Linked DNA regions of Drosophila melanogaster. Changing the gene in region 1 together with any one later gene gives a genetic interaction. Each region holds a gene or a part of one and is shown in the gene's direction. Other genes may lie near its edges.

Region 1 (4,922 bases):
AACATGAGGTGGATAAGAAAAACTAAACGTTTTAAGAAACTTGTTCACGACGCAAATAGTAAACGAAGTTTACGAACCCATATTGACGTCAAGATCGAGTTAATACTAAATAAATGTTGTAAATTAGGGAGATCAAAAAACCCGGTCCAAATGGGTTTTTCATTCATAACGAAATAATAACGGAAGCTAGACAAATGACCAAAACACTTTTCCGGACATAAATATGAGAAAATATGGGAGGAGTGGGTTTATAAACAGGCCCAAAAACCTGAAACCGAAACTCGTAGACCCATTCATACGAATGGAAATGCCACAAAATACTATATTTATAACATCTGCGCCTAGCTTCGAATTTTGTGGGCGGGGCAAATGGAGGAGGAGGAGGAATCGAGTGGACAGCTGGAAACGGAAAAAAAGAAGAAAAGCCCTGTCTCCTCTTCTTCCCACGTCGGTTACGTTTCGTTGAGCGAAATGATCAACATATTCAAATGGTCGTTACGCACGCTACACAGAAAATAGCATTGTGAACGTTCTTAACAAATATTATGATACACTTTAAAAGCATATACTAAAGGGAAATGTTAATTTTCGATAAGTCTCTTTAAATTATTACAATTACTATAAACTATAACTGTGTTATAGTATTTACAATTATAATTTATTTTATATACAATTATTTTGCTCAGTGCAGTTGAAGTGACTAGATCAAATGCAGGGCATACGAAAACAATGAAACCCAGCCGAGCAACCATCCGAAATGTTGACCCGACCACTTCCACTTATTGGCGGCAGTTGTGATAAGATGCACCGCCTCACTTGTTGATCTCTCCCTGCCAGTTGTTGTTCTTGTTGTTGTTGTGATGCATGTGGTTTCCAAGGCAAGGAGCAGAAGCAACATATGCGTAAAGAAAAACATAAGCGGCGTTGCTGTCCGGATGCCGTGTGAATTTCACATTTCACTGCCTTGTTTCTGAATATTTGTGTACTTTTAATGTACATATGTGTGTACTATGTAGTTCCTCGGGTTCCTGTGGACTGTCTGCGATCCAGAACGCCCACGTAATGTGCGCTACGGTATAAACAGCCGGGCATTTGATTTTTACTTACTTTGCTAAGCATAACTAGCTATTGATACATGGTTATTGGAATAGATATGAATCTTAAACTGGTTGAATTTAAAAATAAACATTGCTTTCTGATATAATTCCTTAACGATCGATCATAAACAAAACAGGGTTTTTTATTGCTTTGTACCGCCCTTCTTAAGTCGCATATGCCTCGACTTTCTCTGCCGGCGATCTTCGGTTGTTTCCGCTGTTGGTGGCGCCGGTGCAACATGTGTGTGTGTTTAAGTGTAGGTGACCGCTGCTGCGTGTGTGCGTTTTCATTCACAAAATTTTTGGGAGGTGCATGTGTACACTTGCCGCTTGGAAATTTTAATTCAGTTCCATTTCGGCCGACCTGCAACACGTTCGTAATTCGGAGTGTGTTTCAAAGTTAAGCAACTAAAAACCAATCGGAATTAATAAAAACATCAATTAAACCTCAAGTTAAAATAAAAAAAACCAAAAATTCAGTGTTTAATAATAATCAATTTTAAATAAATTACAAAATATATAACTGTTTGTTGGAGCTAACGATATATATTCGATAGCCAGAACTGGTGAAATATCGAAATTAAACTTAAACATTTTTAATGAAAACCTTACTGTTGTGCTTAACTTAATAAGCATAAGCCGTTGTTGAATAAAATAAAAAAATTATTTTAAAACATATCTGCTTCAAACAAATTATTAAGCAAACATTAATCATTTGCGTTTCCCGTGGTATTTTCGGGGCACCGTGCTAAGGTCACACTAATTCGTTGGAGTCATACAACCGTCTCGCTACGGTCACTCTAGTTCTGATTCCGCTTCGAAAGGTTGTTCGCGGATGCGTGTAAACCCGCAAAGCAAATAAACTCGGAGAACCAAGTTTTTGCGATTCTGATTCAAGCAACCGAATTACTTTCCATACTTCGATAATATAATCCCACGTCTGCTAGTGCGTGCAAAAAACAGTTTGTAGTTAAAACGAAATACTAAAATCAGTCGAGCCCTGAAGCAACAGGGAAAGTGCATTTCGTGAGCGGCAAATCGACTCATATTCCCGTCACACCAGCTCAATGCACAATGCAACGCTGCAGCGAGTGATGAAATTCAAATGCAAATAGCCGGCTAATAAACCTGTTAAAGAAAAACAAATAATTTCGAGTTATTAAAGTTTCGTGAAGATCGAGTGAAGGAGTTAGATAAATTTCCAATCGCGTGTTGCAAGTTCCCCAGTGGGTAGCTGACAAAAAGCTGGCTGCTTTAAGCGCACAATGCTGCTGAAGAAGAAGCGCTATATGTTCGACGAGCGAGACGACAATAATATTAACTCGCCCGTCGCCGTCGAGCCAAGCAGCAACAACAACAAAATGGCCGATACACGCGAAGTGCGCATTGAAGAGCAATTAAAAGTGAAAATTGGTATGTAAATCGAGTGCGAAATCGTTCAAAAACATCAAAAATATGTCGAAGAACATGCGTGGCATGAACGTTGAGTGAAATACGCGCAGCAACGTGCGTTTTTTATGTTCCAAAGTGTGCTGGAATTTTGACAGCGTCGCCGTTTGCCCCGCGGAGCCTCTTCCAAGCAGAAAACAACATAGAATCGGGAGAATATGTCTAAAAGTTTTCCAAAATGTTGTGTAATCTAATGGCAAACCGAAATTTGTGCGAGTTGAGGCAAAGAAAGTCGATTAATTGAGAAAACAAATGTGTTTTTGTTCTAGAAATGCATATTGCGTTCAAGTGTATAAGCATGCTGTCCCGCTCTGACTCGCGTGTTGCTCTGTGCGTGTGTGTTTCTGTTGCCTTTTTCCCTGTGTGTGTGTGTTTTTTTTTCGTGCAGCAGCAGTGCAATACATTTGTTGTTGCTGCCGTTTGAGAAGTAATGGATGACCAGGCTGAATGTTACGGCATTCGCTTCTTGACCCACCCCCAGAACCGCTCTTCCTCCTTCATCGCCCAGCACACCCCCCGCAGTTTTGAATGCGCCCCTTTTTGTGAATGAATCGGAAATCAAGCATGTGTCTGTGAGACGCTCCAGCGCATGCTCACACACACGCGACAAACGCACACACACAAGCGGCAGAGAGATCCCAGCAACAATGTGTGGGTTTTTTTATGAATGGAATTTTCGAATTCGGTGTACTTTTCTCAATACGAAGGTGTCTGTTTTATGAATGATTATCAAAAGCAACAAGCGAAAAGAGCATCGATTAATGGCCTACTATATATTGGCAAGAGGTCAAATGAATGAATGACGCTCTCTCACTTTTCCTCTCCATTCTGCCATCCACTTCATTCTGAAGCGAGAGCGAAGCAGACTGCAAGAGATAGACGAAAAATAAACTTGCGGTTGTTTTTTGGTGGTTTTACATTTCCTGTTGAAACATAAAAAGTAAAACAGAATTATGAATAACCACTGGCTGTGTGTACTGTGCGGGGAGGGGGGGGGGGGGTTCAAAAGTTCCCGTGATCTCATTTTCACACCTGCACACGCATTTATTTTTACCTCTTCTGCTTCTCACATTTTCAATCTCGCAACTCATAAGCAGCTTTTGCTATGCTTTTTCAACATAAATTATATGCAAAGCTGCAACAACATTGTTGCCTTGCCGCTTTTGATTTCCGTTTCCCAGCGCCCAGAGTTTCCCTTCGTGTGTTGCGGTTTTGTGTTCTTTTTCTCCGGCCATAAAACTCTTGCTTTTTTCAGTTGCTCTTCTTTTTTTCCGTGTCTTCCCCTCTTCAACTGCTTTTTGCACGCTTCAATTGTTTTCGCATGCGCCTCTGTCTTTGTCGGGATCTTCTCTTCGCACCCTCCTCTCCTCTCGACACTTCCTTTTGCCACATTCCCTTCTTTCTCCAGCTGCTTTAACCCTTTTGGGTTCTGCGAAGAAGATGGCACAATATTGGTTAAAAATGAATTAAAACACGTTTCTGCGCTGATTGAAGAACGAAAGTTATGCACTTCCTTCGATTATCGGGTTGTTATGGCAAATTAGCTGTCACCTTTTTACCTCCATTTCATTCGTTCGCCTTTGTGGTTCATGTTTACCCTCTTTACCTGCAAAAATTCCGTTAAGGATCGACCACAGCTTCCCAAGATACATATCTGATCTCATTAAAAATCCTGAGTAGTTATTACACAACACCATATCTAAAGGAATTGCCATTCAAAAATGCCTCTAAAATGTTAAAAAATGCTGTGTTATGGATCGGGAATACCTATCGAGCAGGAAATTTAACCATATTCTCTAGTTTTATAGAAGTATTATTGGGAACTCACTATTATTTATTTATAGTTTTCCCTCTTAAAAACTCTACTAAAGATATAGAAATGCGATTTCAAACGGCTCACGATCACGTTTTCTAATGATTGAAGAATGAAAGTTATTCATTTCCCATAATCATCATTGATTATCGCATCATTATAGCACATTAGCTGCTGTGTCACCTCTATTGCCCATCAACAGTCAGCTTCTTTCCCATCCGCTTTATAACGTGATATATGTACGTATTTATATATCGTTATAAGCGCTATACATATCTATGTATGTATATGTATGTACACCCTGCATTCTTCTCCCAAGTATCATATTTCCACTTCATTATGCTTTGCATGCTTAATAATAATACTTCCACATCGTGCTCAGTTTCAATTACACACGGAGTTTCGCTTTTGTTGCTATTGTTGTGGGGGCTTTCCATTTCCATTTTGTTGCTCGTTGCGATTTCTACACGAAACGTCCGTCCAAAATTGGCGTAATACTTTTCCACTTAATTAAAATGTTTAGCGCATAACCTAAATTTCATTTAGAATGATAACGAGGGTGT
Region 2 (4,780 bases), 9.5 Mb from region 1:
CCGCAGGACGTTTGCATCTGGCAGGGAAAATAGGTTTTTCGTTAAATATTCGTTTAATATCTCCGAATCTAGTAACTTACGGCCTCGCATGTTTTCTAGGACATCCATTCGTTCTTCAACCGACATTTCTTTGTCGTCCACGGTTTTAATTACTTCCGGTTCGTCCATTATTGAGCTGACAGCTTCATTGGTTTCCTTCTGCAAATCGATGGGGAATAAATATGATATGATTTTTCTTTCTGCGAATCAATTGGGAATAAAGTATTTGTCACAATTTTTTAGGATCAGGAATGTAGGCCAAAGTTGGGAATGTTCTTGCTATTATTTGTGACAACCTAATACAAGTTGTCGAAAGTACATACTTTGGTCTTATGTGCTTGTTGCTGAAGTTTGATAAGCGCAGCGTGGGAAAAGGCAGCGATCAATTGTATTGTTAAGAATAAGGAACAGCCAAGCGAAACGTAAGTAAAACCTCATATTAAGTAGTAAATATGGCCTTCAGTGGATTTCTTCAAGCGCACTCACCTCCGATTCCTCGTGTAACTTCTTACTGGCCTGCGCCTGTCGTGCCGCTTCCAACTCCGCCAGCACATCCGCTTGTTCCGTGTACACGGCAAGTCCGATCGGCGTCTTGCCGAATTTGGAGACCAAGGTGACATCTGCCTGGCACTTGAGTAGCAGGCGCACAATTCCCTTGTGTTTTTTCTCGACCGCCCAGTGCAGCGGGGTCATGCGAAGCTGACAGGAATGTTGGTTAGTCATTTTAAACAGTCATTTATTTATATATTCTTACCATGTCGCGGGAGTTGACGCTGCACTTTAGCGCTAGCAGCAAGCTGACTATCCGCTCGTGACCGTAGTAGCAGGCTAGGTGGAGCGGCGTTCGGTCTACCTTGGTCTTGCCATCCATGTTAATGCCCCCCTGCAGGAGGATTTCGCAAATCTCCAGCTGATTGTTCATGGCGGCAAAGTGAAGTGCCGACATACCTAGCCAGTCGGAAGCGAAGGGAGCTCCATGCGCTAGCGCCGCCTTGACCCCAGCTACATCGCTGTCTCTGGCGCACTGGAGCAGCTGTTTGCCCAGGTCAACGCATGTGGCCGGACCCACCAGGATCCCCTTCTTTTGCTGGACATCCCCTTCGGTGCGCTATGAAGGAGTCGCCTCGGTTAGTGTGAATTACAAGCAAGGTACCGCGAGTCTTACGATCTCGTAGTGCATCAGGTTGGAGTTCTCCATGGGGTAGACGTGACCATCCGCTCGGAGAGTAGCAACGACTTTGCTGGCGCCGAGACTGTGCATTTTAGCAGAAGAACACTTTCAGGGACGAGTGAAGGCCTATAATTGGCATTACTTCAATAAGTTTATTAAGCAAAGGCTAAGAATGGCTTTAATTATGAATGTTTACGTTTTTAGATCTCTGCGGTGTGACCAGACATAGAAAAGGGCTTATACTCACCTATCAGATAAAATTGTTTTTGAAATAGCTTTCGTCATATAGCATCAATAGCATTAGTTTCTTCAATCGTCTAAAATCATGTTAAACTTAAATCATTTTCTGCGTTGCCGTTTTTTACATTTAAATTTAAATCACAGCTAAATCCTGTAAGACATTACTTGATCAAAGTAATAATACGAAGGATAAGGCAATCGAAGCTGAATTTATTGGTATATACCAAAAAGGAAGAATAGGTATCGATAATCTCTACATGACGAAAGTTTCTGATCGATATCAAGCACGGTCACACTTTATCTTATCGTTTTTACAGTTCGCGGTTTCGAGGTTTGCAACGCGCAATGAGCAAACTTAAACTAATTTTGTGACTCGGTAATCAAGTAAATGTGCAGCGGTCTAATTGAAATCAATGTTGCACGTGCAAATTACAGCTTGCGAGAGCAGCAATCATTTTTGTTCAGTTTTTTAAAGCTTACGAGGTATGAAAAGAAGAGGAAGTAACGGCAATGCCAGAAGCTTGTTGCTTTCTCCACTCCTCTTTCATCCTCGTCATGTGTGTGAGTGTGCAAGTGTATGTGTTTGCTAGGCTTAGAATTCCCAGTGAATATTGGGGAAATGTTAATTTAAAATGCAAAATATGTGATGGATAGCAAATGGATACGTACAAACAATAGTAAGTACATGTGTGTAGTCTTTCCGATTTTTTTCATTACTGGTGTTAAAAAGAAGAGACTAACAATATTCTTCATGCTCTTGAGCGGCCATTATATTCTAGGTGACCATTGTTGATCTAAAACAAAATAGAGAGCATAATTTTATGTTTCAATTTCTTTCTTCCGCCGCCATTGTATTCTGGGTTGATAAGGAAGATTTTAAGCAATTAAAATATATCTTCGTCTCTTTCTTCCACCGCCATTTTACTTTGCGGTGGTAAGGATGAAAGAATGAGATGCAAGCTTAAGATCTCTAAAGCAGCCATTTTTTTCTGCGGTGTGCTATTGGTCTTCCTCTTAAATTTAAAATTTATAAATTTCTTAAAAATATAGCAATATTGGCTACTATTTTTATCCATATTTCGCAAAGTTAAATGTAAACCGAAATTCGGATTTTTTGAAGTTTTTATAATCAACGAGATAGATTTGCAATCAAAATTTTTACCTTATCCTAATGAGAGGGATATATTTATTTTGCAGGGAAATTGCGTAAGAGTTCAAAGAGCTTAGTTCATAGGTGAGTACATCCACATAATTCTTATGAAAAATATAAAAATGGGCTGATTAAAATGATTGGTATTATGGAAATTATTATTGAAAAAATATGAAATTTACATTTTAAAAAGTGTTATTCGCGTTATTACTCAGTTTGTAAATAGCGGGCATCAATTGTGCATAGTTTGAAGGTAAGTTGCCCAATAAATGGCGCAAAGCTCGTAACCGCGAATTATATATGTATGTACATATACGATAAAAATAAAGTGTGGCCTTTGCTTGGATAAAAAAATCGTCCGAGTCGCCGGATATCCATATTATCGCTTTCAGAAAATTCGATATCATCGATAGGTGTTTCCCTTTCAAAAGTCTTCGTCCGATTTGGTCCGTTTGACTACTTTTATCTGGTGCATACCCGATTTGACTGCTTGGACGGAGTGGGATGTGTGAATGAACACTAAAACGCTTGAAACTTGAGAAATTAGGGAAGTAGACGGGTAGCGTCAGTTTGTTTGAGAAGATTAACAAGCCCACAAACTGCACAAAACTTGCAAGGCCATTTTATTATTTGTCTATCCATTTTCGATCGATATGGCAACAACATTTAAGCCATGCCCACTCTAATGCGTCAATAAATGCGACTAATCCAGGCGGGCCCCCAAGTTAACTTGGCCCTCCTCATCGAGTCAAGCGCTTCCTTCGAAGAATGATTTACCGTTGATCATACCGGGAAGCCTTTTTTGGTCTTCAGGGGAGGTAGAGACTACATGTGGTATTAAGATGAAAAAACTAAATGCGTACATCAAATCAAAAGTATTCTTATTAATCCAAGTGAATTATAATATTTATTTTGGCACCTTGTAAATGTGACAAGTGATTAGAAATGTGGTTCTTCTTAAAGATATAAATGTACATCATAATATGCTAGAGTACTGAGGCACTATTATTTATATACTCTCCCGTGTGCGACAGACTAAATGATTCATAATGAATATGAATACCAGAGTTCACAGATGAGCAATAATCTCAGTTCCTGTTAAAGTGATGTCACTGTCGGCTTGTAGGGAGAGTCTGTGAAGGAAAATATCAATGTTAAAAGAAGATAAATTAAAGCAATAAGATGAACACCAACCTGAAGATTTTAGATCGCCTTTCTCATCGAACTTGTATACGCGAGCATTAATAATACTCAGATCTGTCTGACTTGATTCCCTGTAAAAAAAAAAAATGGGCAATTAAAATATTATAGCTTCTATTCGAATATTTCAACTTACACATTAATGGCCCACCAGGATTTGACGTGCAAATTCTTGCCAAGGAGCAGAATAAAACCAGCTATGGCCAGGCCCAGAATGCAAATTCCACTCCAGAAGTCAATGATGAAGAAATGCTCTCTCACTCTGGCCATTATATACACGACTATTTCTCGGATCCAGACCGCAAACACGCCCACTATGTAAGCGCTAAAGGCATAGAAACTGCAGGAATATAAAAGATAAATAGGTCTATAATAAAAACAGCTTTTAGGAAATCTTACTGCGTCTTGACGATTTTCAGTTGAGTGCCCAATATGTACTGAGTATCTGGTGGCAGTTCGTAGATGGAAAAGTACGCCTTGAGACAGCATACAATGCTGAATATCAGGAGGAGTGCAATGGGTCCGTAGTAGTAGATCAAAATACCCCAGGTGCGAACTGAAAATGCATAGATAATTCGAAATTAGACTTTGTTGTACTTTCTTATTCAACCTACCATCGAACCAGCAGTAATCTTCTCCCATGCCTGGCTTGAAGTGCTTGGGCAGCTTGGAGTCCTGGGCTAAGGAGACCAAAAACCGAAGACCAATCACCGCCAGAACTGCCAGAGCAAGGGACAATCGACGGACGGAGCTCCTGACAGCCTTTTGTTTAAATTTGAGCAGAAAGTCAAGACTGCAAATGGCCAGAAAGACGAAGGAGAGCATGATGCAGAAGTAGGCCAGAAATCCTTTTGGGATGCATAGAACAAAATAAGTTATCCAGTTGAAGTAGACAAAATTACTCAACCTATGTTTCTGCAAGCCACATGCGAGAGCTTCATGGGATTCTTCAAGGCCAAGTAGACCAACAGGGAGTAACC
Region 3 (4,688 bases), on another chromosome or scaffold:
GTTTGGCATCCTCAACCATGACTGCCCCGAATTCCTCCACCCCCTGATTTTCCAGCCCCTCCTCTAAAGTTTTCAAGCCCTCCGCCCCAAAACGAAATTGTACCATCTAACCTGATCTACAAGCAAAGTTGAGGAGTTTTCGTGGGCAACACACAAAACGCATAAATTTATGTCAAACATTTGTGAGGCGTCTCCACTTCCGACCTCTCACTTACTCCCACTACATCTTTCTCTTTCGCTGAAAGAGAAAATTTATTTATTCGGACTTTTTAACAACTTTTGTACATATCTGTGTGTATTTGAGTGCCAAGGTGTTGGCTCAACCTTTGTGGCGGTCTCTTTTTTTTTTTTTTACTTTTTTTCTCCCCAAACTTGCCACATTTAGTTTGCAAATATTTTTTATGTGCCACGACATGTTCAAAACAGGGAGTAAGGGCTGCAAAACAACTGCCTAAGGGCCCAAAATGTTTATCCTGCGAAGCGTGGGCCATAAACTACTCAGAAACATAGCTGTTGTAAAATGGGGGACACTTTTGTTGATTGCTCAAAATATTCAAAAGGACCCTTCAAATATGTAAGTTTTCGTAAAATAAAAAGATTTCAGGAACATATAATTCATGTGAAAATATTAAAAAACGAAATGCAGAGCATTCCGTACTTTCTGTCTGCACTAGTCAGGACCAACTGTTGATTGCCTTGATTAATAAAAACGAATGCACTTGCAAGTGCAACAAATCAACATGTTGCCAAAAGAGAAAGTTTCGGCAAGAGAATGTGAGAGAAAACCGCACGGAAAAGAGAGATGGGAACGAGTGAAATAGGAAACAGTTTCTCTCCGGAAAAGTTAGCCAGGATTGGGGCAAAAAACTTGTCTAAAACCGAGTCCCAACGATTATGGTCCAAACAAAATTTCGTGGACTATGCTTCGTGTGTGTTTATGGCCATAAACAACTGACCCCAAAACATAAATAAACCAAAGAGCAGGAAAAGGACCACAAAAGCAAATAAAACTAATAAATGTAGCAGTTTGATAAAATTAAACAACTTGTATGTATTTATTTGTAGAAATAAATTCATCTGTAAACCATTAATGATGATTTGAATCGAATAATGAAAATATCTACAAATTAACATGTTCTTAAATCTTGTAAACTTTGAGCTATCAAACAAGAAGATATTAATATGAATGAAAAGTATGTGATGTTTAAAGTGAAATAAATATGGAATAGTTGGCATTGTATAAAGACAACTAGGCATGATTAACTATTTCATAAAACTTAGAGTTATGTTTAACAAAATTTCCGTTGATCTATGGATGAATTACAGGCCTAGGACAATTTGCGGTTCGTTGTTTTGAGTCCTTTCACTAGAGTTCCTAACCTACCACAAAAGTCCTTAGCCGCTCTCTTTTTTTTTCAAAAGAGAACTTTCTCTCCCTTGGCAACATGTTGCCAAGCCTTTCTCTCAGCGCAGCCGCCTCGAATAATATTCAACAACCGAAATTGGCGACTTCGTCTATGGATTTCGTACACTCGTACGCGACATCCGAAGTTCACTGTACTCGTGTTTTGCAGCTCGTCATATCGAACTTCGTTCTTAAGCTGGAACAAAACCGAAATTGCACTTAGTTGGTAAGAAGCATTCTGCGGCCACGGGCGGCAAAGCGGAAAAGTCGGGAAGAACTGGAAAGGCCGAGTGGAAAAGTCTCCTAAAAACAGGACCCCAAGTATATGTAGAAACCGAAGAAACGCGAGTGCGGAAAAGCGTTGCAGTGGAAATTGCGGACAGGCGGAAACCGCGTTTCGCTTACATGTGCGTTTGTAATTATGCAAATTGCCGGGCAACTCTTTCGACAAATGGCACTCAAGTGCAACTGTTGCCCCGCTTTTCCCCGTGACCTTGCACCCACCTCCTGCCCCCACCGCCCGCTGCTCGGCCCACAGCCATGCATATTTATGCCGCCAAAAAGCCAGAAACTGGGCCAAAACTAGTGCAACAGAAATAGAAAACGGGAAAAAAGAAATGAAATGAAATAAAATAAAATACGAGCAAAGCGCCAAAAGGGGCCAGCAAACAGTGACAAACAATTTCTGCTCAATTTAAAGCCGCTGCGAAAGTTGTGCTCCACTTACCTTCGCTCATCTGTCAAATCCGTATAATTTCCTCTTATTTTTTTTGTGCGTCCTTTCCGTTTGTGTGTGTCAGCAACTTGTTGTCCTTGGTCCTTGCTCTTTGGTCCTAGAAAACAAGTCCGAGCCAGACTCACTCCCAGGCTGGGCAAATAAAATGCAAATAAATTATTTTTATTATTCCACTGTGACAGCTGATTTGGGAGCTTTCTTTAGGATTTCTCTTGCTTTTTTGCCCATTGTTATGACGGCTGGTTATTTTGATGGCGTTGAAAATGGTTTAGCTTAAAGTTACTGGCAGTGCATAAGCGAATTAGGAGCCATGTTTAGTTCGCTGAGTTGTGAGTTGCCGAGAGTTTCTTAAATAAAATGTCGATTTGAATGCACTGGAGTCAAATAGTAAAAGATATATATTTTCATTAGTATTCGATTCTGAGGCACAGTGCATTTAAATACAGCAAAGACAATCGAGATAACTGTTACCTAAAGCGTTTTGTGATAATACAAGTATTTATTGCTTAAAACACATAAATTTCCTGAAGAAAAACTAAATAAACGAGGAAAGCTTGCCAAAATATGCAAGTGACCTGATAAGAAGTTTTAAAATATTCAAAAATTTAGATTTTGTGAAAACACCTAAGTGATTAAATTGTAAGTTAGTGACTAAAAAACCTGCTATAAACTCAAGCAGTGTAAATGCATAAAATTAAAGGTGTTTTATTTTAAGTACGGATTATCTTTCCAAAGCTCTGGCTCAAAATAAAAATAAGCAGTCACCATTAATAACTCATAATTACTTAGTGATTAGTGTCGAGTAACGCAGGAGATTTCCATTAACAATTGGGCAGTAAAACGCTACGGTTTTGTGTCCCCTCGGCTCCGGTTTAAATAAATAGCCCGGCAATTGCCGAGGCTTGGTCAAAAGGAGGCCCATCAACCATTCCGGCGGAATCAACTCACCTGGGGCTGGGATGTGGATGCGGATATGGAGGGTGTGGGATTTTCGTTAGGATGAAACCTAATAAGTTTGGAGCACGCAAGCGATGGGCCATTTTCAAGCTATTTGACTGACATGCTGTCCGCTCATAAGTCGCTTTTTGCTGGGTATTGTAAACATGAATAAGACATTAGCAGCACAGTTTACATGTGCGGCGGGGGCAAAGCCAACTGAGTGGGCACAATTCCATTTGGGGTATCCATCTCTAGTCGGTGCTCTTGCAAATTATTATTATTTGGGAAATATGTTCATTTAATGCCTGGGCATGGCTTCAATTGGACCTTTCGGCCTCGGCCCGGTTTTGCAAGCCCAAATTGAAATGTCTGAGCCTTTAAATATTCATTGCCTACTTCTAGGCGCCTTCCATATGCATTTAACATGAGCACGAGTGTGTGTGTGTCGCATTTAATTTAATTGAAACATTTAATTACAGTGTCCAGCCGTAGTATCGGCATCTCGAGTGCGTGAATATTTGAACGAGCATTTCAGCATCGCATTGCAAAATCAATTCTCGAGTGAGCCTTTAAAAACACGCAAATTGAAACCGAAATAGAGAGAAAAAAACGCACAACCGCAGAAACAAAAACCGAAATGTGTCTCGGGATAATCGTCAGCCAAATTGCATTTCCATTGCGACATTAAAATGCAATTTGGGCGGGTCGCCGACTCCAGTTACTGTCAAACTGTTGCCTCTTTAGCGGATTAATATTTCTGTAAATACCACCCAAAGAGTTGAACGAAACAAAAAAAAAGCGCACAAGAAAAACAGGCGGAAAAACAGAAAATTCATCAGCAACAGCACAGCAGTCAAACATGTCGACCATAAAGCTGCTCATTATCGGTAAGTTTTATCTCACAATTAAAACAGAAACAAAAGAGAAAAATCATTAATGAAGGCACGAACTCGAAATCTGACCGAAGCAGCGGCTGCTGTGGTTTATTTTATTTTCCTGTTTCAATTTTATTTTCATGACCTCATCGCGAGCTTTAAAGTGGTTGAAAAGAAACAAAATTAGGCCATTCAAAGTAGTTAAAACTGTTTGTTTATATTTTAATTATAGTACTATATGGAATAAACCAAACACCACCAGACCAAAATTAAAATACAAGAATATACTTTAATAATAGTAATGTCATATAGTGCCTAATAGAAAATGCTATTATAAGACTACTTGCTTATGAAAAGCAGCTCGGTTTTATTAAGAAATTCTTTTAAGACTTTCATTTCAATTCCTGAGATGCACAAACCGCGCTGTTTGAAGTCATCGCCATATGCACCTCTTTTGCAACCCAGTCAATTGCATTTTCCTTGCCTGACTGACTTCCACTTTTGCCCCTCCTGCATTTTCAGTTTCATTTTTTTTTTCCACCATGCCACGCCCCCGTTTTCCTTGCCACTTGTTATCTGGCCCTTCTGGCGGTTTTCATTTTTATGTGCGTCCTGGGAAATTTCACAATGCCGCAAAAGGCGTTTACGTGAAGGGGCGAAGTGGTCCGAGTGACCATAAACAAAAGACACCACCCACTCATCAACAACATCATGGACATCATCCTCTTTCCAA
Region 4 (4,723 bases), on another chromosome or scaffold:
GAGGTGGGCGGGGAAGTGCAAAGTGCGGTGGCCACAATTTGGCCCTTTGGACTGGCCTGCAACTCTTGGCTTTGCAGCCAGCGACACTTTTCCAATATTTTCCATTTCCCCAACCACCCGTTTTGAATGAAAAACGAAGTGGCAACAGTGTTGCGTGGCATCCAGCGATTGCCTTTAAGTTTTCACTCTCCAGAAGTTAGTTGCGTGCAAATGGGCGGTAGTTAAATGCTAATTTCAAATAAAAAACCAAGAAGTAACAGTCGCCAAATGGACATATCAGGTTGCGCGAGGTGTCCTCGTTAAGAATGAATTCAATTATCGTTATGATTTCATGTTTTGGCACTTCCCCAACCACATTTCCACCAGACACGTAAACAAAGTCAACAAAGTACAAGTCGAGGAGCCCAGGGACTGCAGTGCACTGATCCAATTAGCCAAGGGAAATTATTATAATTATATTACGACAGTCAGTGGGCTTCACTTGGCCACGACGGCTGCTAAACTTTCATTTAGGGGCAGTCCCCGGGTATATTGAGCGTTAATAATACGATGCGTTTTCGTTGCGCGACATTGGGGTCAGTATCGAGTGCCACTGCTCTTCACATTTTATGAATCGGTATCTGGAAGCAATGCAAATTTTATAAATATTCTCTGCAACACGTGCTTCTTGACAGACATTTTAATGACAACTTTTCAATAGCTGAGTATATCCCATTTATTTAATCACATAAAATTCATATAAAAGCAAGTCTGTTAGCTATTTATTGATTGCTTAGAGCAATAAAGGGCCGCTTTAAATATTGGCTTATTTATTGTTGAATAGCAATGCGATAAAAACTAATAAAGCAACTGGATCTATAATGAGTTATATATATAAATTTTATTATATAATTTTAAAAATGGCAACGGTTTTTCTTTTGGTTTTTTACAATCATATACCTTTTTCATATTGTAATCTATTCGCATCACATACAATCCTGCCACCTATCATCGCACTACCTTCATGAGTAGCAGAGATAAGCTCGATGTTCTTTGGTTGACAACCAATAGAAAAGAAGCTTTAAAGCAAACATTTAACCGCGAACGGGCATTATGGCCGCCAAACTCTTCCTCCAGATAAGAAATCGGACTTTAAGCGCCACTGAAATTGGTGAAATACAAAGTAGAACGCACTTTAAGGCGGTTGGCCAACCAGAGCAGAAACATTCGAGTAGCCAACAAAAAGATAAACAGCGCCGAAAAACTTTTTTCGGGGTGGAGACTCATTTTAAACAAATTGGCAAAAAGTTGAGACCCCCGAAACCGAAAAGTCCGGCGATAAAGAGCCTTAACGGTAAAAGTATCTAACAGATGCGCCCAACAGCGAGCTAATAAGAGCAAACGGGTTCTAGTTGGATTGGATGAGTGAGTGAGTGTGCTTCGTTGAGTGAGAGAGCAGCCACTCTGTTTCAGTTCAGTGGTGGTGGTGGTGGGTATACTGGGTGCACTGGTGGTGGTGGTTCAGTGGTGGTGGCAAACCAGCCAAACGCGTCGAAGGTCTTGCCCCACCAACGCGAGCGAGCGAGAGCGGCGATTTCACTCAACTAGAAGGCAATGCCAGCTAAACGAGAGTGAGCAGACCAGCACCACTGCCCGTTTGAGTTGAGTATGGGGAGCGGAGAGAGATTTGTGTGATGTGTCGTTAGGTCGAAACGGTCGAGTCGAGTCGGGTCGGGTCGTGTACCTTTTGCCACGAATGTTGTGCCAGTCAGGCTCTAAAAGGCCTTACGAGAACAGCTGAGATTTCGCTGCTCCGCATGACGCAAAGATACCGAAATTGAAAAATTTTCAAGTCTTTAAGATATTATATCTCGTGTGTGCGCCGAGCGGGAAATTAATAAGCAACATCGAAAAAATTCAAAAATTCAAAAATAAACCAAGTGTTTTATTAGTGAAGCCAGCTGAAATGTTAACAGCATATGCAGCTTAAAAGAAAATATTAAATTTATTTTAACATAAAGAAGAAGAATTATAACGCGGCTGACAAATACGAATAAAAGGATACAAGTTAAAAGCTAGAGCCGAGGACTCTATCGAAACCAAAGTGTGAACCGTACCAAGTGCGTACAAAGTGTATTCCAGCAATTATCCCACGTGTTCCGACCCGGCCGCCAAAATTATTACGCACAATTCGCTGAGCGTGTACGGCGGCGGCGTCATGTGCGCCTCCCCGTCCACGGCTCCCGGCTTCTTCAATCCGCGCCCGCAATCCGGCGCGGAGCTGTCGGCCTTCGACATCGGCCTGTCCCGCTCGATGGGGCTGGGCGTCCCGCCACACAGCGCCTGGCACGAACCGCCGGCCTCCCTCGGCGGTCACCTGCACGCCGCCTCCGCCGGACCGGGCACCACCACCGGCAGCGTGGCGACGGGCGGCGGCGGTACCACTCCGAGCAGCGTGGCCAGCCAGCAGTCGGCGGTGATCAAGCAGGATCTCTCTTGCCCCAGCCTCAATCAGGCGGGATCCGGCCATCATCCTGGCATCAAGGAGGATCTGTCCAGCAGCCTGCCCAGCGCCAATGGTGGATCCGCCGGTGGCCATCACTCCGGTTCCGGATCGGGTTCCGGTTCGGGCGTCAATCCCGGACACGGCTCCGACATGCTGCCCCTGATCAAGGGCCATGGCCAGGACATGCTCACCAGCATCAAGGGACAGCCCACGGGCTGTGGCAGCACCACGCCCAGCTCCCAGGCGAATAGCTCCCACTCGCAGAGCAGCAACAGTGGATCCCAGATCGACAGCAAGCAGAACATCGAGTGCGTCGTCTGCGGCGACAAGAGTTCCGGCAAGCACTACGGACAATTTACCTGCGAAGGTGAGTACACTGCGAGAAATTATATTCAAATAGGGGGGGAAACAGTTAGAGTGAATGTGTGAGCTAGGGATGTTACCACTCCACCAGTACATTAATTGTGCTTATGCCATACATGTCAATGTATCTATTTGGTGCCATCTTGAGGACCATCACATCTTGGCAATTTTTATTGCTGAGTAGCGATCTCACCTCCAAGGTGCAATTGGGGGTCAATTGATTTCGTACTCGGATTCGAACTGGGGATGACCAAACAGAAATGGCCAACGTAATAGAAAGCGAGCACAAAAGCGTGCCTGCCAGCCGCTGATTTTTGACAGTTTCGGTGAGTTATGGCAGTTTGATGAGTTGGCAATAAACCCTCGGCCAGGTGTGGGTGTGTGGCGGAATGGTAGAGCAGTGGGAATTCTTCCCAGGGCCATGCAAAAGTTGACGGGATGCAGCTGGAATGTATATCTGTGGGCCAGGGCAGTCAATAAACCTACGTGGAGCCCAAAAGCTAGTTAGTTGATCGGGGGCCCCAAATCATGTAAAAATGTTTTTACGAGCAAAAAATACATTTATGATCTAAAATATAGTTTGGTTTGACCCCAGCGAGATTTATGTTTGCGCATAAGCTTACTGTCTTTTGCTGATATATTATTGTGTCTAATTAAATTTTACAGCTGCAATTGCCCCTAAAGTGGTGATAAAGTATCTAAAAAAAAATCCCTGTTCTGGCAGATGATTTTCCAGATACTCAGATACTTTTGCATCTCCGGCCATCATTCCGTTACACTAGAGCTCGCAGCACGAGAGCTCTTGAATATAGCCATATATATATATATATACATATATTGCGATCTGGGCACCCACTGCCTCTCGGCCTTATCGTCAGATAAAAATTATTATCTAAATAAAATACGGTCCGTGCTTTGTCCTAAGCCAAACAATTGTTGTGCAAACATGCAAATTGTGCGGCGGCCGCTAAATGAAGCGCCCACCTTCTTATTGTCTCTCTCACTGGGTTTCTGGATAAGGGGAGCCTCACCTGGAGTTCCGGAAAAGAGGGGTGGCAGATGGGCAATGGAAGGCGGGAGGCGGGGCAGATGGGTAACTGCATTCAGAGATAGAGGGAGATCTGGCATACGCTCTGGCATTTAGTGCAGCTTGAAGTTGAACTTGTCATGCTCGTATCTCTTCAAATGTTCTGGCACTGGAGCACACAGGCAAAGCCACTGCCACAGCCACAGCTAAGAGCCAAGAAGTGACTATGACTGGGCAGAGGCACAGTGGGCCATTGGTATGATGATACCAGAGATTCCCAGATACTTGGCACTCCGTTGGCTCCCACTGTTCGTTCGCGGGCGCTGCTATTATTATTAATCACCGAGCATTTTGTACGCATGCGCAACCCACAAGAGCAACAATCAGAAGATATGCGGCTCTGTGACCGCCTCGTTGCATTCTGAAGGTGTTTCCCCGGATCCCTTCATGTGGCATAGTATGTAGTTGCCTGTTGGCCTGATGATGTTGCCACGATAGCAATCTATTTTGTTCTATGCAATCGCCCAGACTGCAGAGCTGTAGCTTTAGCTTCACTCAAATGCTGGCGAAATAAAACGTAGGAATAATCATAATAAAGCGCATAGAGCCCATATCATTGCCGGCGTTTTCAGGGTTTTTTTTTTATGTTTGCTACTCTGGTGCCTGGTCGCGTCCTTTCAGCTGATTCACTTCGAGGTGCAGATACTTTTCGTGGCTCTTAGAAAAGAAAGATACTCCACTCCACACCACTCCGTTGCGCGGCAACTCGTTTCGGCTGTCTGAGCTCTAAACTCGTGTGTGTCCGTGTGTGTGTGTGCTCACTTGTCCGTCTGTCTGGAGGTCCCTTC

What was found.
Region 2: of RasGAP1 (region 1) and Ptpmeg, changing one suppresses a phenotype caused by changing the other (phenotypic suppression), as found in Drosophila melanogaster (one study listed by BioGRID).
Region 3: of RasGAP1 (region 1) and fred, changing one enhances a phenotype caused by changing the other (phenotypic enhancement), as found in Drosophila melanogaster (one study listed by BioGRID).
Region 4: of RasGAP1 (region 1) and svp, changing one enhances a phenotype caused by changing the other (phenotypic enhancement), as found in Drosophila melanogaster (one study listed by BioGRID).

Annotation. Positions count from the first base shown.
Region 1 is NT_037436.4:9,852,253-9,857,174, reverse strand, and holds the start of RasGAP1 (Ras GTPase activating protein 1), read left to right. Parts: upstream 1-1,889; 5' UTR 1,890-2,362; coding exon 2,363-2,510; intron 2,511-4,922. UniProt on the Drosophila melanogaster protein: Inhibitory regulator of the Ras-cyclic AMP pathway. May function as a negative regulator of Ras85D/Ras1 in the sev signaling pathway. Acts cell autonomously in cone cell precursors as a negative regulator of R7 photoreceptor cell determination.
Region 2 is NT_037436.4:326,342-331,121, forward strand, and holds the start of Ptpmeg (protein tyrosine phosphatase Meg), read left to right. Parts: upstream 1-1,755; 5' UTR 1,756-2,127; intron 2,128-2,647; 5' UTR 2,648-2,684; intron 2,685-3,480; exon of another isoform or gene 3,481-3,698; coding exon of another isoform or gene 3,699-3,733; intron 3,734-3,794; coding exon of another isoform or gene 3,795-3,874; intron 3,875-3,936; coding exon of another isoform or gene 3,937-4,140; intron 4,141-4,199; coding exon of another isoform or gene 4,200-4,356; intron 4,357-4,414; coding exon of another isoform or gene 4,415-4,648; intron 4,649-4,707; coding exon of another isoform or gene 4,708-4,780. Other genes in the region: Atac3 (Ada2a-containing complex component 3), read right to left, coding at 1-17, 81-198, 363-383, 526-738, 794-1,147, 1,205-1,300; mthl9 (methuselah-like 9), read right to left, coding at 3,699-3,733, 3,795-3,874, 3,937-4,140, 4,200-4,356, 4,415-4,648, 4,708-4,780.
Region 3 is NT_033779.5:3,988,672-3,993,359, reverse strand, and holds the start of fred (friend of echinoid), read left to right. Parts: upstream 1-1,646; 5' UTR 1,647-1,812; intron 1,813-3,559; 5' UTR 3,560-3,939; coding exon 3,940-3,967; intron 3,968-4,688.
Region 4 is NT_033777.3:12,279,398-12,284,120, forward strand, and holds the start of svp (seven up), read left to right. Parts: upstream 1-1,712; 5' UTR 1,713-2,197; coding exon 2,198-2,852; intron 2,853-4,723. UniProt on the Drosophila melanogaster protein: Receptor that is required in photoreceptors R1, R3, R4 and R6 during eye development; generation of the ganglion mother cell-2 (GMC-2) fate in the nb7-3 lineage, coinciding with the transition in the expression of HB to KR in the neuroblasts (NBs).